2 linked regions of the Oryza sativa Japonica Group genome follow. The protein of the gene in region 1 interacts with the protein of each later gene in a pairwise test. Links are inferred from orthologs where the notes say so. Each region holds a gene or a part of one and is shown in the gene's direction. Other genes may lie near its edges.

Region 1 (12,973 bases):
ACCCACACCCGTAGATAATCTAGGATTTGTCCTATCCAAATAATGCCTAAGGGGATATTATGTTAGAAATCCTTCAGAGTCAATTTTGATCAAAATATGTGTAGTAGTTTAATGTTGCTTTCTATTGTAGTTCTAAAATGGTCCTTCTTTTCCAGCCTATAGGAAGCTTGCTAGGAGCTACCATCCTGATGTGAACAAGTAAGTACTAACCATTATATGGGAATTGTGTTTCAGCTACACTCGATATATTGCTTCTTTTTCTCCTTTCGATCCATTATAAACCTGAGTACTAGTTGTTGCATTACCTTTTTCATAACTACATAATCAAATAAGCAATTGTTATGCTTGTGTATTTTTCTTTAGAGATCCTGGTGCTGAACAAAAGTTCAAGGATATTAGCAATGCTTATGAGGTTAGTCCAGCTAACCATAACCAAATCCCATTGTTTCTTATGACTATGTTGTTGTAGGGTTACAGGTGCTTGCCAGCTAACATAAATAGGATTGCAGGTTTTGTCTGATGATGAGAAGCGATCAATCTATGATAAATATGGAGAAGCTGGTTTGAAGGGTGCTGGAATGGGAACAGGAGTGAGTGTTCCTAGAATGTTGTCCAATTCTGAAGTATGATCAGCATGACCTTTATATGATATTGATTGTATGAAATTTGTGAATCTGCAGGATTACTCAAACCCATTCGATCTCTTTGAATCATTATTCGAAGGCTTTGGTGGAATGGGGGGAATGGGAGGCCGTGCTGCTCGGAACAGACCAATGCAGGGTGATGATGAGGCCTACAATCTGGTACTCAATTTCAAGGAAGCGGTGTTTGGTGTAGAGAAAGAAATTGAGATCACCAGACTGGAAGGCTGTAATACATGTGATGGAACTGGTGCCAAGCCTGGAACGAAACCAACCACATGCAAAACATGTGGAGGACAGGGACAAGTGGTCTCCTCAACAAGAACGCCACTTGGAATATTCCAGCAGGTCTCCACCTGCAATACTTGCGGAGGCACTGGTGAATTCTCTACCCCGTGCAACACTTGTGGGGGTGATGGCCGAGTGCGGAAGACAAAAAGGATCAGTCTAAAGGTTCCTGCTGGTGTTGATTCTGGAAGCAGATTGAGGGTCCGGTCTGAGGGGAATGCTGGGCGGAGAGGAGGCCCTCCTGGAGATCTTTATGTGTTTATTGATGTTCTCTCTGATCCTGTTCTTAAGCGAGATGGGACAAACATTCTATACACATGCAAAGTTTCATATATTGACGCAATTCTTGGGACAACCGTCAAGGTTCCCACTGTTGATGGGATGGTTGACCTGAAGATCCCCTCCGGTACCCAGCCAGGCACAACGTTAGTGATGTCCAAGAAAGGTGTCCCACTCCTCGGGAAGTCAAATGCTCGTGGAGACCAGCTAGTGCGTGTGCAGGTCGAGATTCCAAAGCGTCTGAGCAGCGACGAGAGGAAGCTGATTGAAGAACTTGCAAACCTAAACAAGGCTCAAACAGCAAACAGCAGGAGATAATTCCATGAGGCTTCATTGGACAAAATGCTTTGGCAATATGCAATTTTAACGCAAATTGCAGTGACTAAGTGAGCATGAACTGGTAAATCACTTCACAAACTGTACGCTCATGCTGCGCCGTACCATCGGTGGGAACTGTGAATTCTCATGTCTGTAACTTCATTTTTAAGCCATAGAAATCTAGTTCCATCCAAAACACCAAAACGGATGGTGTTTTACAGTAGCTTGTCATATGCTTTTAGGCGAGCTTATTAGTCTATTTTTCATAATACTTTTTCACAATTTTGAAAGGCCTAGGGAGAAATATTTAATGGTGCAAAAGGGACGAGTTTTGAAACATTTGTTTGTCGCAGAAGCACCAGACCATTCTGATTGTTATTGTAAGCTGTAACATCAAAGTTTTGGCAGCAGGTTTTCATGTGCTCTTAAGCGTTGGGGGTTTGTTCCGTTTGGTTTTCAACTGTATGCTAGCTTTCTCTATTAGCCAATGTAATGGCAGTTGCAAAATCTGTTGTAGTGCAGGCGTGCAGCTAAATGCAGTATAGCTGACTGTTAACTTTAAGCTGATTGTTCCATGCATGTGCCAGTAAAAGGCCAGTCAGGAATGAGTCTCATGGATCAATATATGGTGCAGACATGTCAGTAGGATATAGGAGTATTACATTATAGTTTTTTCAGCTTCAATAACGTTCATGTTAGCTTGTACATTGTATGGCAACCCTTCCATACTTGCGTTAGCCACAAAAGTTCACCATGTTAGCTTGGCTTTAGATCAGTTTAAACTGTCCTTTAATAGCAAATTAATAATCCATAAATGAAATTTTACTTCCACTGTTTACCAGTGCTACTACTGTTCTACCTCCAGCGTTCAACAGCTGAGAAACGTGAGGAGTCCAGCACCAGCAGTACCATTTACTGCAATGCGAGAGAGATGTTCTCCGTTTCCTCCTTCACTGAGGCTTAGGAGTAGGAGTAGTAGTGATTTTTTCGTGTCGACTTGTTTAACATTATCGTTAACACCATCAAGTGTCAATGCCAGTAGCCTGCTGCTTCTGATCATTTCTTCCTTCCCTCTTCTAACGCCATTATCGTTTTATCTCACCTTGCATTTATGTTCAAGTGACCATGGTTCTTGACAGAAGCAGCCCTTGTTCTTTCCTGTCCCTTTGTTTGTTCAGTACGCTATTATTCTCTTGGGTACTAGACCTTGTATAAACCGGTTGTGAAATCCTCAATCAAATAAAAGTTAACTCGAAATTTGTGGCCTGTTCCAAGTGTTTGGCAAACCAATATGTATATTATCCACCCGATTATCTAATGGCAATACAGTGCCTAAAATTCCTGCTTCCGGAGTCTTAAACTTTACCCGAATCCAATCTGGAAACCGAAAAGACAGCTGCTTGGCTGATGGCAAGTCACTGGGTACATTGATTTGTGTTAATTTTCAGTCCAATAAAACAGCGCAAAAATTGTAAGGGTGATCCCTCTTTAGTAAAGCCATGCATTCTGCAAACTCTGTTGCAATGCAAGCTGTATCCTATATCCAGTGCCGATGAACCAATTCTGTTTGCAGACTGTACCCTATCTCTACTCTACAAGCCAACCAAAGGAAAGTGTTTGATCTGCAGTGGAATACTAGCAGGTATTCCACCATTTCAGGGTTGGGAGTGTGATTGATATGCAGGAGATTGACATTGTGCAGAACATTGGCCGTCAGGCTGCCGCTGCCGTCGCCGGTGGTGTCGGTGAGAAAGCCCGGTGGTGGTGGTTGTGCCGGCGGCGAGGAGTGGCTGCAACAGGATGGGCTGTTGTGCATGGGCGGATCAGCGGGTGGCTTATGGCGGTGGCCACGCTGTTCGCCGGCGACGGACCCGGCGGCGGCGGCCTTCACGAGGGACGGCGCATGATGATCCTGGATAATTTCGAGACTTCGGGCCGGCGTGCGTGCAAAGCCCATACATATTCTACGCGCAACTGTCACGCACAAAAACGAAGTTTTTAGTACCACATGGAAAATCTATGACGACTGACACCGGCATAAAAGACGACGCGCTCGCATCGCTCCTGGCGAGCTCGGTGGCGTGAGCTTGTTACCCCAGCTGCGGGGGGGCGGGAGTTGGCATGTTTCGGCTGCTGGAGAAAATGAGGTTTCTCCCTCGATCGAATATGGATGCAAACATCCTCCCGACTTTGGCCCACGAGGGAGGGAAGGTGTGAGTCACCCTGGGCTCTTGACGGCTGCGTCATGGAGCGAAGAGGACGCTGAATCGTGGGAGAGGTGTGTGGTGGCCGGTGCCCGACGACGGCGCCTGGCGATGCGTGGGGAGAAGGCGAGCAGTTGTATGTGAAGAGGACGCTGAATCGTGGGAGAGGTGTGTGGTGGCCGGTGCCCGACGACGGCGCCTGGCGATGGGTGGGGAGAAGGCGAGCAGTTGTAGTTGGGACCCGCCACACCCCGCACGTGCGCAAGTCCATGACGTGAGCGCTCCCGGTCATTAGGAGCCACGTCAGCTGGCGGCCTCCGCCGTTGAGCTTTTCCCTGCCAACCGACACCCTTCTCCCCACCCATTGGCGAATGCCCTAGAGGTTTGGGTTGAGATAGGAGTAGAGGGGAGTGAGGTGGAAGAAGATTGCTAGTTGGCTTGTGGGTTCCACGTGGGCCCTGCACTGACTCAGCCACCACGTCAACAAAACCGGAAAGCAATACTACCTTGGGATTAAAAGTGGACCGTTTTGCAAGATTAGGGGTTCAGGGCCGTTTAAAACTCAACGACAAGATAAGGGACCTTAGATGAACTTTTTTGGGAGATGAGGCGCCTGTGCATATGACCCATAGGCAGGCGACAACGCGGCAGCAGAGCGCTGCACGACCTCCGCCTCCCCAATCCGTCCCGTCTCCTCGCCCGCCGCCCTCGACTCCCGTCTCCTCGCCTGCCGCTGGCGCCGATCTCCATCCTGCTAGCAGAGGTGGCGCCGGCGTCCTCCTGCTCCCGCCGCATTCGCATCCTAATCCATCCCATCCGGCCTCGGCCTCGAATTTCGTCTCCTCGCCCGCCGCTTGCGCCGATCCCCATCCTGCGAGCAGAGGTGGCGCCCGGCGTCCTCCTTCTTCCACCGCATCGTCGCTCGCCGGTGAGCATCCCTCCCTACCCACACCTCATCAGGTATTCTGCGTTATCCCTCAAAAAGTTTGGGGGTTCAACCGAAACAGGGTTAGATCTGCCTCTGCCCAGCTCCACCTACTTTCAAGTTGTTAATTTTGATTTCCGTTTTTAGCAGATGTAATTTGGTTATTGAATCTCATCCAAACACCCTTAGAACGAAAAATGTAAGCTCACATAATTTGTACTCATCCAAACTCACATAAATTTCTTAAGAAGAATCTAGACCACAAACTACCCATAGTCACACAAAATATCTTTTTATCAAGGTATATTCTTATAAGTAATTTTTATTCCACAAAATTTTCTAAAGGACATACTGTGACACTTGGCATGAATCTAATTTAACATTCTTTCTTTATCAGGTTATAAATTGAAACCATTGAACGTACTTTGTCTTCCCGTCCCTAAAACATTGTGATATATCTGTAATATTTTAATATTTTTAATTTTAAAAATAATTTAGACTAATAATATAGATATTTAAATTAGGTAATTAGTAAATTCAAATCAACTATAGTTTGGAATAAAAAAACAAAATGATATATGCCAAGTACAATCTAATAACAATAGAATGCACTTTTGGTTAATGTTTACTCCTAATTTCTTAATTTCTAGTTTGGCTCCCCCCACCGTTATGGTAAAAAATCGTTATGTTTTAACTATTTATCTGCTAGAGCATATGTAATATTTATGTAAACTATGTTCTTTATTACCAATCAAAATAGACACCTTACCTACTTTCATCAAAAGAAATAAAAAATGTAGTAGGTATTATTCTGGAATACTCCTCGTCGGAAACATATGGAACGCATTTCCCTCAAAACGCAAAAACCGGGGCCCCGAGCCCTCGACACCAACCCCGTCAGATGTGAAGCCGACGGCCCAAATGGAGGCCAGCGGTGCCAATGCGTAGGCCACGCGTGCCTCTGCGCAAATCTTATCTCCCGGGAGGCTTCGCTCCACTTCCCTCCCCGAGTCACTCAAACCATCCAATCCCCCCACCTTCCCTTTCCTTGCCCCCATTCCCCACCGTCGCAAGGAAAAATATTATTAATAAACAATGATGTTGATGTATTATTATTAAACAATGATATTGATGTATTTCTAAATATTTTCACGTATTATTTATTAAGTGTCAGTGATTGAAATGGATCCTGGTCGGAAATGAATCCTGGTCGGAAAATGGTTACTAATGTTTTTCCTTCATATAATATTTCTGGATATGTATAACAATGTGGGTCAGCAATATTGAACTATGCAAACCATTACTCTGTACAATCTTTTCTTTTCAAATGCTGGCCACATTTCGCTCGAGCTTACTGCTCATGTATGCAGCTCATGGATCCTGAGATCTAGACGTCAACGTGCTTCCTGGAAAGAGAGAGGCTCAGGCATGAGAGCATACCTCTAAAATAATGTCCGTGCTTACCTGTGTGCTTGATAACATGGGCTCATCCTGTAGCAGATCTCATTCTTTAAGTGAGGCTGAAACAACCAAAAATGCAAAAGTAAGTTAGCACTCGGACTTATTGAACAAGTAAATGCTAACTCAATTCTTGATTTGAGAGTTGCCACATTTGGTTTCTTCTAATTCAGCTGGTAACAGTCTGCAGACATTGACAGGCGAATTTTGCAAGAGACAAAAGCAGAGCAACACATCCACAAGCTCTTACTTCTTGGTATTGCTAACTTTCCCAAATTTAAGTGGTCATTTTCCTTGTCACAATTATCTGTGCTACCTTTAGTATCTATTGGTTCAGAAAATTAATTGTTTATGTTGTTCCTATTTACCTCTATAAAAAAACCTTTCTCATGTTATTTCCAAAAAAAAAGAAGATAAATAAATGTATCCTAGAAATTTTTAGTTTGAACTTGTTCTCAATGTGGATCCATCCTTCTTTCTCTCTCTCAATTGCTTCTGTTTTAAGGTGCGGGAGAATCAGGGAAGTCTACGATATTTAAACAGGTGATGAATGTTATATTCCATGGAGAATCATAATCCGTACGCCGCTAGTTAGTCTGATGTATTCTTACTGTTCACCTGCAGATTAAGCTCCTTTTCCAAACTGGCTTTGATGAGGCAGAACTTAGGAGCTACACATCAGTTATCCATGCAAACGTCTATCAGACAATTAAAGTATGCAATACTGGAAAGGGTGTGTCTTTTTTTTCTTATTGCAAAGTGGGGATTATGTAGGAGATTCGACTAGGGATTTGTATTCTGTTCATAAGGAAATGCGTTCATACTTTTCCTTTTTGTCGAGTAATGTGTTAAATGTTAACAGATACTATATGAAGGAGCAAAAGAACTCTCACAAGTGGAATCAGATTCCTCAAAGTATGTTATATCCCCAGATAACCAGGTTTGTGCTTACTCTTTACTCAACAGTTAAAGCTAAATCTGTGCATATGAACATGTCTTGTTAAATCTGGGAATACAAACATTTTGATTTGCAACATTTCTGTTGTAGTCAAGCTGCTCGGCTCTATGTTTTAACCTGTTAAGACCTTGTAGACTGTGCTCGGCTCTATTGTAGTCTTATATTTTACACGGTCATTCTATAATGAAAACTTGAAAAAGATATCTATTGAACCGTACAATGTACTGAACAAAGTAGAAAAGAACAATGAGATTTTGTAACATTTATTCTTCCTTGTTTATTTGATTGCTTCAGACAATTGTTGATATGCTAAAAATAACTTGGTATCAAATGTGGGTGTTATAAGATTCAATTTTTTTCTCAACCAGGTTAAAAAAAGTATACCTTTGTGCATTTACCTTGTTCCGTTGCTTTGGAACTTTAAAGGAAAACTGACTTTTCTTAGGCATTGAAAGACAAATATCACCAGTTTCACACTGTACACCTTACCAACCAATTTTGTTTCTTAGATGTCATTTACTTTGTCATATCATCAGGAAATTGGAGAAAAACTATCAGATATTGATGGCAGGTTGGATTATCCACTGCTGAACAAAGAACTTGTACTCGATGTAAAAAGGTTATGGCAAGACCCAGCCATTCAGGTGAAAACAAATAGCCATTCAAATCTTTTGAAGTTATATAGTTTTCCTGGCCAGGTGTGCTGAAGCAATGCTCTATACTGTAGGAAACTTACTTACGTGGAAGTATTCTGCAACTTCCTGATTGTGCACAATACTTCATGGAAAATTTGGATCGATTAGCTGAAGCAGGTTATGTGCCAACAAAGGTGTGCTGTCCATGTTCATAGACAATTATTTACATATTCTCAGATATTTGTGCTGACACCATTTCATGTTGATTTTTAGTCTACTTAGTCAGAGGTTGTCAAATGGTTAACTATGTGTACTGAGTCAGAGGTTGCCAAATAGTTTTAAAAGATGGGCATATGTTTATCCTTATCTTTTAAATAATATTGGAGGCTATCCTTTAAAATTCAATATTAGGGAGGAGAAACTATTATTCTACCGTTATTACGCAGTCTACATAACGAAGGTAAAAAATGTCCCTGTGAAACATAGGGTGCAAAACTGCTGTGAATAAAACTCTACTTATCTAAGCACCTTGAGCTTTTGAGTTCCCACATATTAATCTTATGACACTAGCATATATTTTTTTTGTTCAGTTCCTTCAATAAGTTGCAAACCACAAATATGATCACTGTACCATCCACTTTTGCAACCATTTCCCGTCATTTCTTAAGCATAGAAAATTGTTTGTCACTTGTTTAAGTCCACACTGCATCAAAATTCCAATTAACATTGTGTGTGCTAAGTGAAGATATGACTCCATATTTCTGCATTTAGCAGTCTGATGGATAATTTGTGATTGTACCTTGTCTAATGGTTCGTTTGAAAGGCTGGTAGTTGATCTTCCATACTTAAGAATGCTTGCAGTATTATAGTTGTCAATATTATGAGTCATTTTGCAGGAGGATGTGCTTTATGCAAGAGTACGGACAAATGGTGTTGTACAAATACAATTTAGGTAATCTGCTGACACTATTTTTTGCACATTTTTTTGCTGGTTGCTCTACTATGTACAGAACGACAAGTTGAAGTCCTTTTTTTCTCCCCTTTCACTTCTAAGATATGACCTGAGAGGTTCTGAATGTAGCTGTTTTAAGATGAGTTGAATCATCTAGTTAACTGGGTTTCTTTCTGCAGTCCTGTTGGAGAAAACAAAAGAGGTGGAGAGGTATATAGGTTGTATGATGTAGGAGGCCAGAGGAATGAGAGGAGAAAGTGGATTCATCTTTTTGAAGGTGTTAATGCGGTAATCTTTTGTGCTGCCATTAGCGAGTAAGTACAATTTTTTTGATTGTTGAACTTATCCTAATCTGCTAAGTTCTTCTCATAGGCTTCTTGTTCATTTCAGATATGATCAGATGCTATTTGAAGATGAGACAAAAAACAGAATGATGGAGACCAAGGAACTCTTTGACTGGGTTTTAAAGCAAAGATGTTTTGAGGTCTGCATGCATCCATCTCTGCAACCTTTGTGCTCATGCTTTTTTTCTCATTTTGAAACTAATTACGGTGCTATATTGACCATCAGAAAACATCATTCATTCTGTTTCTCAACAAATTTGATATATTCGAGAAGAAAATACAAAAGGTAAGGCCTGCTCTTTGTACCAATGCATAGTTTAGTACTAAATGTTACCAACATTTATGTTTACGCTGGTTACGTAGGTTCCTTTAAGTGTGTGCGAGTGGTTTAAAGACTACCAGCCTATTGCACCTGGGAAACAGGAGGTTGAACATGCATATGAGTGAGTGCACTACTCGCCCTCTCAGATGAACATGGGCATTTGGCCATTTGTAATGTTGCTGCATGGTGCACTTATATGCCTTGATAAGTTTTTCCATTCTAATGTTATATAGTATCAAACGTTCATCATTACTGTGGCTTATGGTCTGGAGTGACGTTTTACAGGTTTGTCAAGAAGAAGTTTGAAGAGCTCTACTTCCAGAGCAGCAAGCCTGACCGTGTGGACCGCGTCTTCAAAATCTACAGAACTACGGCCCTAGACCAGAAACTTGTAAAGAAGACATTCAAGTTGATTGATGAGAGCATGAGACGCTCCAGGGAAGGAACTTGATTCAGAGCTAAGACTAGGTTGTAAGTCACACAGGGAAGGTAATTAGGACGGCGAGAGGAACAAAGTTTCACACTGTCACAGCTTTATCTGTTGTAATTCTTTTACACGTGGACCATTGATTGATCTTTTGGTTCTTACTGTGGGCTGTTCAGGTCTGTACCCTATTTTTTGTTCTCTAGTTAGCCATTGTGCAAATTTTCCTTGAATCAGATTCTCTACCTGTTGTCTATGTGTGTTATCTTGGTCTGTTAATTTGCATAGCCCACTTGTTCATTACAAAAGGAGATCTTTACTACTTACAAAAAAAAAAATCTAGTGGGAAAGTGGTTGCAAATAATTGAAGAAATTATAGCTAGAAGGTGTATCCATGGTGGTGGCTTGAGCCCTTGAATCCCGTTATTTTGCATACAATTACATATGTTATTATAGCTTGCAGAGTACACCATTAGCTGTAGTTACCTGGTCCACCGTAGTATACATGCATACAGTAAGCATTAATTCCATAACTATCGGAGGTCGATTTTGCTATATATTTGTCGACAAATTTTTCCTTTGACAGATGTAATTACAGTACAATCGTAGTGTAATTATATTGTAACTTGCATGTAATTACACTGTAACTAACTTGTATGTAACTTTTAAAAATCTCTCCATAACATGTTATTTTGGTAAAATAGAGGTCATGGGAACAAATTCTTTCACATATGTGTGTGCTATGATTTGTTTTTTTTTCTCATCAAAATAAATCTTATAATAGATCTAACGATTCAAAATTATGTGAAACTTACATATAAATTACAGTGTAGTTACATGCAAGTTACAGTGTAATTACATATAAGTTACAGTGTAATTACACTACGATTGAACTATAATTACATCTGTCAATTTTTGAGGAAAAATTTGTCGACAAATGTATAGGTAGTCCAGGTATATTTACTTGGATTACAGGATCCTGCATAGGCTTTAACGGGGTTTGGATTAACAAGCTTCTTGTTCTCATTCACGATCAGGATGTCCCTAATAAAAGCCACTGTGCCATAAGCTTCTGAAGCAAAATGTCTATTACCCATTTGTGGAGAATTTTCTTAGACGGTTGGACCCTGAACATATCCACCCCACTTTGTATAACTGCCCATTACCTTCATGTAACTGAATTGAGAACTTGGCCAATATCCTATTGCCGTATTCTTCTCACCATATACCAACCGTCAGTTTTTTAGTCTTCGGGTCCTAAAATTAATTTAATTTGTGTTCAAAAGTGTGCAAGGGGCAACATGCCATTGAATGCACATGACACGGTATTGTTCTTTTTTTATATTCTAGGTGTTTTAACAAGAGTTTCTTTGTACTCCCTACGTTTCTAAATACACTTGCCATTAGTTACTATCTAAATTTTAACTTTTACCACTCATCTTTTTCAAAAAAAGAAAAAATCTTAGAATGATAAAGTATTATCAAAGTGTGTTGTGTCCTAAACATAAGCATTAATCATTTGTCAAAGTCTTAGTTATTTAAAATTAGGGGCAATTGTGTTTCTGCCCCTGCTTTACATGTCAATTGTGATTTTACCCTGCTTTTTAGAGTTTGTGATTTTGCCCTACTTTTTTGAAACGAAGCAGCCGCATGTCCCTACTCTGTTAACTAATGGTAACAGTCTTAAATGTGTGGTGAATGGACAAATATACCCCTGGACATGTTTTGGCTTGTGCAACACCACGAGGCCGCGCCGACGGAGCCGCCGCTCCTTTCTGCCACTCCTCCGCCGAGGGGCCGCCGTGCCAACGGAGCCGCCGCTCCTCGGGGCCGCCGCGCCGCGCCGCGCCTGCCCACGCCCGACTCCACCGCGTGCTGGCCCGAGCCGCCGCTCCTCCCTGCTGCGCGCCGCCGCTTGTCGCGTAAGCCACCGCCGCCGCTGCTTGCAACCTAGCAAGCTAGGGTTTTCGATTGGATCGGGGACAACAAGGTTTGGGGATTTGGTTGTTTCATTGAAGCAAGGGTAGAATAGTCATTCACAAATTATAATAGCATTTTCTTTCTTCGTTTAATTTGGAAATCCCGGGCCCACCAAACTACCGTCCAAACCAGGGGCAGACGGCTGCTTCGTTTCAAAAAAGCAGGGGCAAAATCACAAACCTTAAAAAGTAGGGGTAAAATCACAATTGACATGTAAAGCAAGGGCAGAAACACAATTGCCCCTTAATGTTATTAACAATTAAAGTTAGAATAGTGATGGTCAATACTAACAAGTATTTGGGAACAAAGTTAGTATAATATAACGTCTTTTCTCTATTCAAAGTGAAATGGTATTGTTGGAAGACCCTAGGGAAATGTCTATTATGATCTAAGATTTGTAGTAAGCTTCTTTTATTGTAATTGTTGTCGAAACGACAACTGCATACGTCGAAAGACGTGGTTACTCAACAGTGGTTGGAAAGAAACGAAGTGTATTAATTTTAGAATTTTTTACTCCGGATCCCCCCATTACATGGCCCTAGGGGACTATTTATAGCCCCATTACAGGTTCTTACTACTAGGGTTTAGGTTATACAGGGAAATTTACATGGTTGCCCTTACGAAAGGGACATTTACAGGGGTACATAATGTTATGGAGGCTCATGGGCCCCTGATGGGCCGTCGGGCGATCGCCGGCCCTATAGCCCCTAGGCCTGATGGGTCGGAAAGACTTTTTCGGCCCTCGCGGGAGCGAACTTGCCATGGCGAAGTCGTCTTCCTTCGGCAGATACTCTTCGCCTTGCACCCTTCGCCTGGGACGCCTCTGGCTTACTCGCACGACCCCTCGCCTCTCGCCATTCTTGCTCCATAGCCTTTGCCACGGGTTTCGGCAGATTTGGTCGAAAGGCCTCATGCCATCCGCCAACAGTAATGTTGTGCTAACATGCAAGATAATCTAAGCATTGCTCTTGATGCATCAGATGTACTTCTGAATATAGTATGTAGATATAACATATTATGCAAAATTGGTGTTTTCTTATATATCTTGAGTAACTTAATTAATATAATAGTGAACCACGTAATTTTAACCATATTGAATTTCATGTAAAATAGAGAGTACCTTAAATATAAGAACTTGAATTCTATATTGTGTTCCATTATAGACGGAAGCATGGTTTAATCTTCATCCAAGAACAACACTGCTGCTAACTTGAACGAAACCAGGACGGCTGTGGTCAGTGCAAG
Region 2 (10,746 bases), on another chromosome or scaffold:
AATACATGGAAGAAAAAAGAGTAGCTACGGAGCAGGGCTGTTGAGGCGCCACGACGGTGCAAGTGGAGCTCGAGCATGGGGCATGGAAGGCGGAGGTTAAGCTCAAGCACGCAGCTAGCAAAGGTGGCCACAGATGGAGCTTGAGCTCAAGCTCAGGGGCAACGTAGACAGAGCTCCTCTCTTCAACGCCATTCCCCGCGGCTCTCAATACCTTAGGCTAGTGGTGTTGTGCTCCTCTGCTAGCTTGACCCAATGTCAGTGCCAAAGTTAGAGACGATTGGCAACAGTCAGCAGCTTGATGTAGAAGCAAGCAGTGGCTGAGTGGAAACATGGAATGTGAAAATGGATAGAGTGGTCTAATGTGCAACCCAAGGTAAAAGACTCTTGTATAAACTAAAAATGTTGGATGTGCCATAGTCCAAAGTGAAACTTTAGTCATAATAACTAGCCCAATATACAATTCACTCTATTTTGAAACTAACCCACTTTATAGAGAAGCATCATATACTATTTACGGAGGGGAGTATATACTTTATTTATAGTTTTAGAAGCACAAACTAATATACATACATCCTATAAAAAAGGAAATCGATAGAGCATACACGTTCTAAAAAATCTTACAAAAATGATCCCAACCTTTTGGTTAAATAAAATCTAGATACGATCTAAGCATGACCCATCAGTGTCAGTAATAAAAATTCATTAAGAAAAAAACCTTTTCCAAATCAGTAATCTTAGGTTGCATTCTTTTCTCCCCTTTTCTAATTTATACTATCTCGTTTCTCGCACACATGTATGGTGTGTTTTTCTTAAAAAAAATTCTATATCAAAGTTGTTTAAAAATTCATATAAATGTAAATTTTAAATTTATTTTATCTAATACTTAATTAGTTATGTGCTAATGAGTCACTCCATTTTGGTGTTAAGGAAAAGTTCTCAACTGGAGCTACCAAAGGCAGACTTATACCGAGTTCATCCATGGATGGGCCCATACACACAGAAGGCCCAAAAAGCAATACGTCTGTACGCTGGCTCGGCCCATTAGACTAACCACCAGACAGACCAAGTAAACCACAGCCTTCGCTACGAAGGCAGGCAAATCCGGTCCAAAACCCAAACCCAACCCAACGACCAAACCACCGACCGGCCGTTCCACTGCGCCATTCCTTCCTTCCCCCCACCTCCTCGTCGACGCGGAGATCGCTCGCTCGCCGGCGACGGCGATGGCGGCATCGGCGGCGGCTGCGGCGGCGGTGAGCCAGGCGCTGAGGGACCGCGACGTCCTCGACGCCGTCGGCACCTCCGCCGCCGCGCTTTCGCTCGCGGGCTCTTCCTTCATCGTGCTCTGCTACCTCCTCTTCCGCGAGCTCCGCAAGTTCTCCTTCAAGCTCGTCTACTTCCTCGCGGTCTCGGTGAGCGGCTCAGATCTGGAACTACTTGGTTTTGGGGGGTTCTGGGTTCGGGAGGCTAGCCTCGTGATCTGCGTAACTGCGTTGGGTTGCGATTTGGAATTGGGGAGCGCAAAGTGGGGATCTGAGGGCAGTGCGGTGTTCATTTCGCCTCCGATTGAGAAATATTGGGGGTTCACGCCGTCAGTTTAACCAACGGATGCTCTGTTTTTGCTGCTTATGCGTGCGAGCTGAAGCAGTTCTCGACAATTTTTTTTTTGTAAGATGTTTGCTATCTGATCGGCACTTGAAGTAGCATAGGGCATGCTCCATTTTTTTTTTAGTGAACCGTGTGAGGATGTTTATGTCATAGACCCTTACTTCAATGTGGCAAGTGATGTCCCTATAAGTATCCATGTAGGCAATTGGCTGGGAGATCACATTTCGTGCTACTGTCTTCTTGGATTGGAAGTACAGTTGGTTTGTTATCTAATTATCATGTTGGTTTGTTAATATTATTAATTGCTGCAAGACAAGCTGATGTCTCTAATCTCAATTTCTTCAAGACATTTGGAAATTTGTTTGAGAGAAATGATATCACATTTCTATTCAAGGTGTTTTTCTGACAGCTTCTGTCTAAATTGCAGGATATGTTTTGCAGCTTATTCACTATTATGGGGTATGCTTCTGACTGTGTTATTCAAATTGTATTTGATAATGCACGTAGTTACTTCCTGACTTTAAATAACTGCAACTAATGTAGGAGAAAGTGTATTACTGTGAAGGAAAAAACATATTGTTCTTTATTTTGTTATTTTTGGAACTGTTACTCATGATTACCCCTTTTTTTGCTGACTTTCTATTATGCGCTAGTGAAATATTCTTACACACATGCTTTTCATATTGCAGGGGCCCATCAAATGCATTCTACTGTTTTGCTCATGACTACAGTGCACACTTCTTCTGTGTGGCTTCTTTTCTATGGACAACCACTATAGCGTTCACTCTTCATCGCACCGTTGTCAAACATAAAACGGATGTTGAGGAGTTTGGATCAATTTTCCACCTGTATGTGTGGGGTATGCAATTCTTTTGACCACTTCTCTGCCTTTCTTGGAGCTTGTGCGTGCCAAATTAGCTGGTGCAATATTATTAAGAAGTTAGAAATGCTTGTTGATTTGGTATAGTGCTTCTTTTTCATTTGAAGTATTGACAATTTTATAGCTGTTTCATCTATTTGAAGTGTATGTGATTGATAAGAGGGAACAAGCGGGAGCATTTTGATTTCTTATATCTAAGCATTATGTAGATTTGATGCACATACTTTTGTTTCTCCTTTTCTGTTATTGTTGTCTGCATTGTTTGTCATCTAAGAACCAAGTATGCAAGTTCCAGTTTCTCATGCATTTTTCATTCCTGTCTGCTAATGTATATACTGAATGGTAGACAACTTAAGACATTTGTTGACTTGACATAATTGCGAACATGTGTTGTAACTCATCCTATTAATCTTGTTGCCCTGCTTGAATTTACAGTTCTTGTGACAATAATTTTCCTTTTATATGTTTCTCAGGAACTTCACTAGCTACAACTGTATTACGTTCAATTGGAAGTGATTATGGAAGGCCAGGCACCTGGTGTTGGATCCAACAAGGAAGCATGGGAAAGGCATGTGACCTTTTGTGTTTTGTCATGAATCAGTTAACTTGGTTCTAACACTGCTAACACCTATCTACAGCTTACATTTGAACCTTATCCATGGTAGTCAGAGTGGCCCAAATTGGTGCTAATGACGTTCCTATATGTTTTTGCTTTCATTTAGTATTTGAGCTGTTATCAAATGATCCAAAACAAACTCCACTCAACAGAATAAGTACTACCTTTGTCTCAAAAAGACTTCATTTCTAGCTATGAACCTAGGCAAGTATTGTCTATATTCATAGTCAGAAATGAAGTCTTTGTGGGATGGAGGTAGTAACATTTATTTATTTGGAATTGCTTACGTACCTTGCACAAGACAGATGGTATCATAAAGTTTAGTGAGTCTCTGAGAGTATACGCATGCTTTCTCTTAGTTTGTATGTTTGACTTTTTGTGCATTGGCTTCTTTCTTTTCCATATCTTTACTGCAATCTATGTCTTCTGTTAATTTGCCATCTTGATCCTAGCTAGACCACTCATTCAAAATAAAAATATTGTCACTTTGTCAGAATTTTAGCAATTGTTCATTATATGTCTTTTATATGCAGGTCTTGCACTTGGTAACCTTTTATCTTCCATTGTGGGGTGCCATTCTCTACAATGGGTATACATACTTTCAGGTTAATCGCATGATAAACAACGCGACAAGGGTATGCATACAGTTTTCTATTTTATATTGATGATAAATAAGGCTTGTATTGAATCCTTGTAAATTCTGCTCTTTTTGCTTATATGTTCTGATTTTCATAAGATAATGGATGAATTTGTAGATGGCTGTTGGCATAAGTGATCGATCAATTCAATCTGACGTGAGGGCAGACAAGAAGGTATAAATTTCCTACACATCTCTTCTCATTATGTGTACTGAAATATTTTCCCCTAATGTGCTACTGTATTCTTCCTACTATCATGAATTCAGAGAGTAACTCATTTGATCCTATTATTTTTTTTATACCTCCAGTCTTGAGATGAACTGGAGTATAATACCTTATGTTATCATGTTTGGAGCAAAAATGATGTGTAAATTCTAGGAGTACTTATATTATCATGTTACCTGGATGTCTGGATCAGCCTCGCACCACTGTCTACTGTCTGGTAGCAGATAGGAATGTTTATTTGAGCAGATACAGCTTATTGACTTGTTTTCTTTTGCAGGCGTTTAATCGGTGGGGTTATTACCCTCTCATTCTAATAGGTTCATGGGCTTTCGCAACAATCAATCGTGTGCATGACTTTGCTAATCCAGGCCACAAGATATTTTGGCTCTCTATTCTTGATGTTGGGTTTGCCGGACTTATGGTGAGTATTTTCATCCTAGATGCTAGTTACCCAGTTCTGAAGAGTTTTCATAACATATTGAAACTACTTTGATAATGTGGGTTGAGCCAACCTTTTAAGTTTAGGGCTAGAGAAAGAGGCTTAGAGGACTCCACGTATCTTGTTGTCAGTCCTGTTGATAATTTTTTATAAATGGGAGCGCTGGAGTTCCAACCCTACTCTTTCTTGAAACAGGCCTATGAAATTGGTTGTATTTCATACTTAGCCTTCAGTATCCAAAGAATTGGCTCTATATAATGCATAGATGAGTCATGGTCTCGTGGAGTCCTCTTGAAGTTCTGTTTGTAGAAGTGTATTGTTGTTTTGTTTCCTTGTGAGGCTTACCTCAGCTTGAGCTTATCTCACAAAACTTCTCTGGCGTTACATCATCTGTGAACACATTTTCCATGGATTCTAATGCTTCATGGTATCTTTAGGGGCTTTTTAATTCCATCGCTTATGGGCTCAACTCGTCAGTGCGCAGAGCGATTGCTGAAAGACTTGACATGTGAGTTATTTTCTAGACTTTACAATCATCTGTTCCTCCTGTATCACCTCATTTCCGTTTATCATTTACTATATTGGTTTATGCACTATATAACATTTTGTTTCCTGAATTGTCCAGGTATCTACCTGAGAGATTTAAAAGGAGCCTCCCTACTCTGACACGATTTAAAAGTCAGCAAGAAAATGAACTTACTTCTCTTATTGTCGATGCGAGTAACACATAGGAATTTTTCTAGCACACTAAGTTTGTTCATATCTTGTGGGTTCTTCAATCCAGAAAGGGTGTATGACATTACTGTAGAGCCAGATGTTTAGCATTAACCATTTGTTAGCATGTGGAATAGTTCCCCTGCGGTCCTTTGTTGATTGCCTTGAACACGAGCAGTGTAATATATTGAAGTTGCATTGTCCGGAGTACATAAGAGATTAGGAGATAGCCAGAGTTGTAGATACTACTATGACGTTGATCTGTATCCCTTTTTTTGTGGATGTATCAGTGTACCACCCTCTCCATGTTTTGCTTTCATATGTTTGTCTCAAAATACTGGCCACAGGCCACATACGGTACGACTTACTAATGTTTCGGTTCTCCTGAGTCCTAACAGTTGACAGTGTCAAAACAGTTTTTCCCATTGATGATTATTTTCACCTTAGTGAAAGCGTAGTTCTTGTAAACTGCCTCGTGGCCTTGTCCATGGGAAAGGAAAAGCACTAGGCTATTGCTTTGAGATGGTGTTGGCTCGAGCTCTCGTCCATAGTGGAAAAGGAGAAGCGGCAAAAGGTGAATACATGGGGAAAGGAAGGAGGCTGGCAATTGCTTTGAGATGGTGTTGGGGATAGGATTCAACATGTTTGAAGGAAGAATTGAATAGGGCTTGCCTTGCTTAGGAGTTACGGTGTTGGGGATAGGATTCAACATATTCGAAGGAAGAATTGAATAGGGCTTGGCTTGTTCAGGAGTTACTCGAATATTTCTCGGTCTTGCACACTCTCGTCAACAGCGACAATCGATTTGTCCTCTATTTTAAATTTAAACGTACATTCAAATGAACATCCAGTAAAACTCTAATATAAAATATGATGCATGGTGCATGAACATATTCAGCGTATATAGGGTGATTTAATATAAATTTAGGAGAAATAATTGCCTAAATCTGATGTATGTGCAATTTATCGCGTTTCTAAGATTTAAATTACAGTAAATACTAAGGTTGCTATTCAAATTTAAATTAATGAAATTTTACAGTATGGTGGTGCTAAGTTTGAGTGTACAATACCAAAGAGAAAATTATTATAATCTAACAAAATTTGGTTAACCTCAATCGGAGTTAAAATGTTTTTTATATAATTTTTTTCAAAAGTTTCAGAATTTCTCAGTACAAAAATAATTAACAGAAACCTTTTCTCAGATTTAATAATTTGTTTACAAAAGAAACTAAAGCGCACTATATAGAGTACGTTTTCCTACAGGGAAAACGTTTTCTAATTGTGTGCATCGATTTAAAACAGTGGGTCCACATGTCAGTGAAAGGCACTCCTCTAATCATTCGGCCAATCATTAAAGTTTCCAGAAATTACATATAGATCCTATGCCTACCTATCAGTGTCTTGCATTTCTTAAAAAGACACTGGGCCTCTTCACTTTACATCATTTTCAACCATATCATTTTTTTTAAAGTTATTAAAAAATATATATATTTAGTTTGTTGTTAAGTTTGATAAATACATAAGAAATTCTGCTAAAATTTTAACAATATTATCATCTTATCAAAATTTTAAAATAATAAAATTTAGTAAGGTTTATTTAAAATAACAAAATCTGAACAGCCCCCTATCTTTTCCTCCTTCAACCTACAGGCAGCTCGATGGGCAGAGAGGCGCGGCGACTCGGGAAGGGCTCGCCGGCGACGAGCGGCCGCGGGGATGGCTCGGCCGAAGGCCGTGGAAGCTATAGGAGGTCCTTGCGCACATCCTAGAGGCGGTGGCGCAGCCGGGGGTGGCTGGAGGCGGCGAGCGCCATGGCCGGCAGTGCAGGCGGTTCGGGACGGCGGCGGGCAGTGTGCTACGGCGAACAGTGGCTCGATTAATGGATAGGGGAGGGCCTAGGGACTACGAGGAGGCTTACTCCTTGCTTGATTCGGGGCGGAGGTGGTGCGTGACGGCGCGGCGACGGGTTCACGAGGCGGCGGACGGCGGCAATGGCGGCGGCGGCGCTCCGGCGAGGGGGGGGGTCTAAAATTAGTTGATGAAATGGGTTCAAGGGGCTCCCGGGGTCATGCTGGCGCAAGGAAAAGGAAGGGGGCTCACCGACGCGACGGCTCGATGGTGTAGGTGATGGCGGTGGCTCTGTTCGGCCGGCTCGGGGGTGCGGTGATGGCGCGGCCGTTCCCGTCGAAACAGAGAGGTTAGGGCTTCGTCTAGGGATGTTGGAGAACGAGTGTGGTGTGGGGAGTCAGCCGGCGCGAGGTCTCGATTTATAGGCGAGGGAGGAGCGAGAAGCAGGCGCGCGCGGTTGTCTCGCCGTTGGTGCGCACGGGCGAGGCCGACGGGAGACATGGCGTGGGCGGCCTCGGCGGGAATCGCGGCGGAAGGCTGGGGACGCAGCCTTCCCAGAGGCTTTTTGCAGAGGGATGGCAGCGGCGGTCGGGGTCGTCGTGTCGCGTCGTCGCCTTGGGCAGAGAGGGCGGCGTCGATTGGCCGCGGCAGAGCGGAGATTGGCTTGGTCGGCATCGGGCAGAGGTAGGGCAGAGGGCGGCGGCATTGGATTGGCCACGGCGGCTGCGGTGCAAGGCGCCTGGGCGCGGCAGGGGCGGCGTCGGCTTTGTGCAGCCTTGGCACAGCGGGAATCGCGGACAGAGGGTGGCTTGGTCGTCTTGGAGGCGCTGACTTCGGGTTGGCACTCCAAATGTTCGACGAAATGACCTCAAGGGGGAGAGGTGAAGAGGAGAGGGAAAACTGAGAGTCTGGGAATTTTTTTTTTCAGGATTGTTACAGAGCTCAAAAGCTTGTGCCAAAATTACTGGAAGTTAGTGTAGTCATGAACTTCATTTGGTGAATTTCTGGGATTTTTCTCATGTGTAGTTTATATTGTTTTGAAAATTCATACAAGTTCACTGTTTTTATTTCAATTTGAATCAAATTTTGGATGTTTTCGTCTTTTTGATTGAGATGAAAAACTTGTGAGACTTAAGGAAGGTTATTTCAAGTGTGTACCACTTATTTCAATTCTTTTTATCCCTTTTTGATTTAATACTTCAACATTTTTTTGTTTATATCTATTGCTTGCAAATACATTATAAGATGCATGAAAAATCCAAGAACGCCAAAAATAAGTTCAAAAGACAAAGAAAAAAAATCAAAATCAAAATCAAAATTTTGCTAAGTTTTTCTTTATTTTCCTTTTTTTCTGACTTCAAAGAATTCCGGGTACGTTACAAAAAGTTCATTTTTATTAAATAGGGTGACGACATGTCAATACTTTTTATCATATGATTAGGAATTCATAAAAGTATAAGAGATAAAATAAGTAAACACATATCTACACTGTTCTGTTTTCAATACAACTTATCTGTTGCACTTCTTATACGAGCTATTTCAATCGTCAATTAAAAACCTTATTAGAAACATCAAAATGACATCCTCATTTGCTTGTAGTACTAGTTCTCCAAGTAGCAGTGCTTCTAGTTTTTCTCTGGCTGTGGCCGCTAGCTTGTTCGTTGTCACCCTTCCTGCTGACATTCTTCTCGTCTGTCCTCCCACCAGCTGCTACTTTGTGCTCGGCTAGTCTCACTCTCACATAGTCACCTCAAGGCGGCGGCGGCGGCGGCGGCGATGGCTTCACTCCCGGAGGTGGCGATTGTGGCCCTCTGCGCCGCCGAGGGCTGCGCGAGGCTGCTGAAGCCTATCCTCGACTTCCTGGCGAACGGGATGAGCCCCAGCAGCGCCGCCGCCGACGCGGCCATCGTCGCCGCCCTCCTCGCCCTCGTCTTCGCCTACCTCGTCTGCGTCTTCCTCGTCTACCTCTCCGTCACTACCCCATCGGCGGTCGCGGCTGCCGTGAAGCTGTCCATTGTCACCGCATTCACGCTGGTCTTCGCCAGGCCAGCCATTGCCTCCGTCGTCGTCGTCGTCGCCGGCGGTGGCCTCTAGTGACAGTGAGCGAGGTAATATTTGCTGAGGATTTTGGTTGAGCCTGAACTAAATCCCAGCTAAATCCCCAAATCCAAACATACAAGTGGTGGGGAAAAATATTTACTACTACTACAGATAGTTCAGTACAATAAAGTGATAGTATCAGATACAACGAATTGGAGTAGCATGTAACGCCATGGATTTACAATTGAAGCACTCTACAATCTACTCCCTCCGTCCCACAGTATAAGGGATTTTGAGTTTTTTTTTTTGCTTGTAACGTTTGACCATTCGTCTTATTCAACTTTTTTTTTGCAAATATAAAAAACAAAAAGTTGTGCTTAAAGTACGATAGATAATAAAGTAAGTCACAAATAAAATAAATAATAATTTCAAATTTTTTTTTAAATAAGACAAGTGGTCAAACACTACAAACAAAAACTCAAAATCCCTTATATTATGGTTCGGAGGGAGTAGATTTAAGGGGACCATGCGTGCAGCCATGGACAGTGGCTGCTATAGCTATGCTATCCCCTAGTTTCCTAACGAGGCATTTTCCTGCTTGGCCTTGGGGGCGAAAAGACACCACCCTGATGAGTATGATTAGTCAATAATGTATTGGACAAAAGTTCCATGGATATGCAATGTGAAATTTCTCCTTTCTGAAAGTTAGTTATTGTCACTCCACATCGTGTTGTACGTTGGATTGGATGGTTTCATTTGCATTCAGTTGAAGCACGTACTGGCAATTCGTTCTGGAGAATAAATTGGATACCCAAGCCATCTTCTTTGGGAGACCGATGCTCAAAGGTCTGAGAAATGCACTGTTGGAAGATGGAACGGACAGTGGCGTGAATGTTTAGAGATCTTTTTTTGAATGGAAAATGTGTTGGGAGTGCTAAGGACAAACTAACATCCATTATTTAATAGAGAAGAAAATGGTTAAAAAAAACCTACGCTGCCTGCCAGCTGAATAATGGATTGCAAGTACCGTTCTCGTTTAGAGATTGTTTCAAGGAGTAAAAAAATCCGTAGGAAAAGCGAGAAGTAAATATGAATGTAATAGGCATGGATATTCTCCCTCGCAGGTACTACCACCAAATGATGCTCCTCCCTAGCAGATACTATTACCAACAAAAGGAAGTACTTACAAATTCTCTCTGGAAAAAAATGCAAGTGTGTAGAAGCAATACTTTTCCCTGCCAATGTGGGGGAGACAGGTGTTCAGTGATGCTCTGAACTGAAGCAGATTGGTCTCGGATGGTTGTAACTTGTAAACGCGCACATGGTTGTGTATTTGCGCGTTGCGTGGTCGTCTACGACGCAACTTGCTAGGAAAGCGCTCACCATTTGGTCCGGCAGCCCCTGACCACGCCGTAAGCTATCAGCATATTAAGTTCATTGGTAGTATTAGCAAGCAGCTTAAGTTTCTACAGGGGATTAGCTGTCAAAAGTAAGATTTTTGGGGAGAGACGCTTCAAAAACTTTCAACAGGGAGAGTTCAATCTGGGTGACAACCCAAGTCCTCTCAAGTAGAAATTTAAGTGGGTAATTCCTCTGTCAGTATAAAAATTCGCTTGCTAATTAATTTCTCACATGTTAATATAAAATTAAAAATAAGAAAAACTCAAAGTGAGATAAACGGGCAGAATAATCCCGCTTGACTGTTATGCTTGCATTCCTACTCTCAAGCCATCTAAGC

What was found.
Region 2: the proteins of guanine nucleotide-binding protein alpha-1 subunit (region 1) and G-protein coupled receptor 1 interact in binary tests that used the Arabidopsis thaliana proteins (3 or more experiments, as listed by UniProt). The link is inferred for Oryza sativa Japonica Group from reciprocal best matches to the Arabidopsis thaliana genes GP ALPHA 1 and GCR1.

Annotation. Positions count from the first base shown.
Region 1 is NC_089039.1:15,696,026-15,708,998, reverse strand, and holds guanine nucleotide-binding protein alpha-1 subunit, read left to right. Parts: upstream 1-4,316; 5' UTR 4,317-4,658; intron 4,659-6,025; 5' UTR 6,026-6,105; coding exon 6,106-6,198; intron 6,199-6,296; coding exon 6,297-6,369; intron 6,370-6,618; coding exon 6,619-6,656; intron 6,657-6,737; coding exon 6,738-6,827; coding exon of another isoform or gene 6,828-6,846; intron 6,847-6,975; coding exon 6,976-7,053; intron 7,054-7,607; coding exon 7,608-7,715; intron 7,716-7,798; coding exon 7,799-7,900; intron 7,901-8,602; coding exon 8,603-8,658; intron 8,659-8,837; coding exon 8,838-8,972; intron 8,973-9,048; coding exon 9,049-9,142; intron 9,143-9,228; coding exon 9,229-9,288; intron 9,289-9,365; coding exon 9,366-9,445; intron 9,446-9,609; coding exon 9,610-9,775; 3' UTR 9,776-10,128; downstream 10,129-12,973. Other genes in the region: chaperone protein dnaJ A7A, chloroplastic-like, read left to right, coding at 156-198, 364-412, 510-590, 681-1,526. UniProt on the Arabidopsis thaliana protein: Exhibits a fast rate of basal nucleotide exchange. Guanine nucleotide-binding proteins (G proteins) are involved as modulators or transducers in various transmembrane signaling systems.
Region 2 is NC_089040.1:5,226,124-5,236,869, forward strand, and holds G-protein coupled receptor 1, read left to right. Parts: upstream 1-1,138; 5' UTR 1,139-1,223; coding exon 1,224-1,412; intron 1,413-2,035; coding exon 2,036-2,067; intron 2,068-2,297; coding exon 2,298-2,467; intron 2,468-2,961; coding exon 2,962-3,056; intron 3,057-3,637; coding exon 3,638-3,739; intron 3,740-3,859; coding exon 3,860-3,916; intron 3,917-4,244; coding exon 4,245-4,388; intron 4,389-4,843; coding exon 4,844-4,914; intron 4,915-5,031; coding exon 5,032-5,137; 3' UTR 5,138-5,439; downstream 5,440-10,746. UniProt on the Arabidopsis thaliana protein: Together with GPA1, may regulate the cell cycle via a signaling cascade that uses phosphatidylinositol-specific phospholipase C (PI-PLC) as an effector and inositol 1,4,5-trisphosphate(IP(3)) as a second messenger.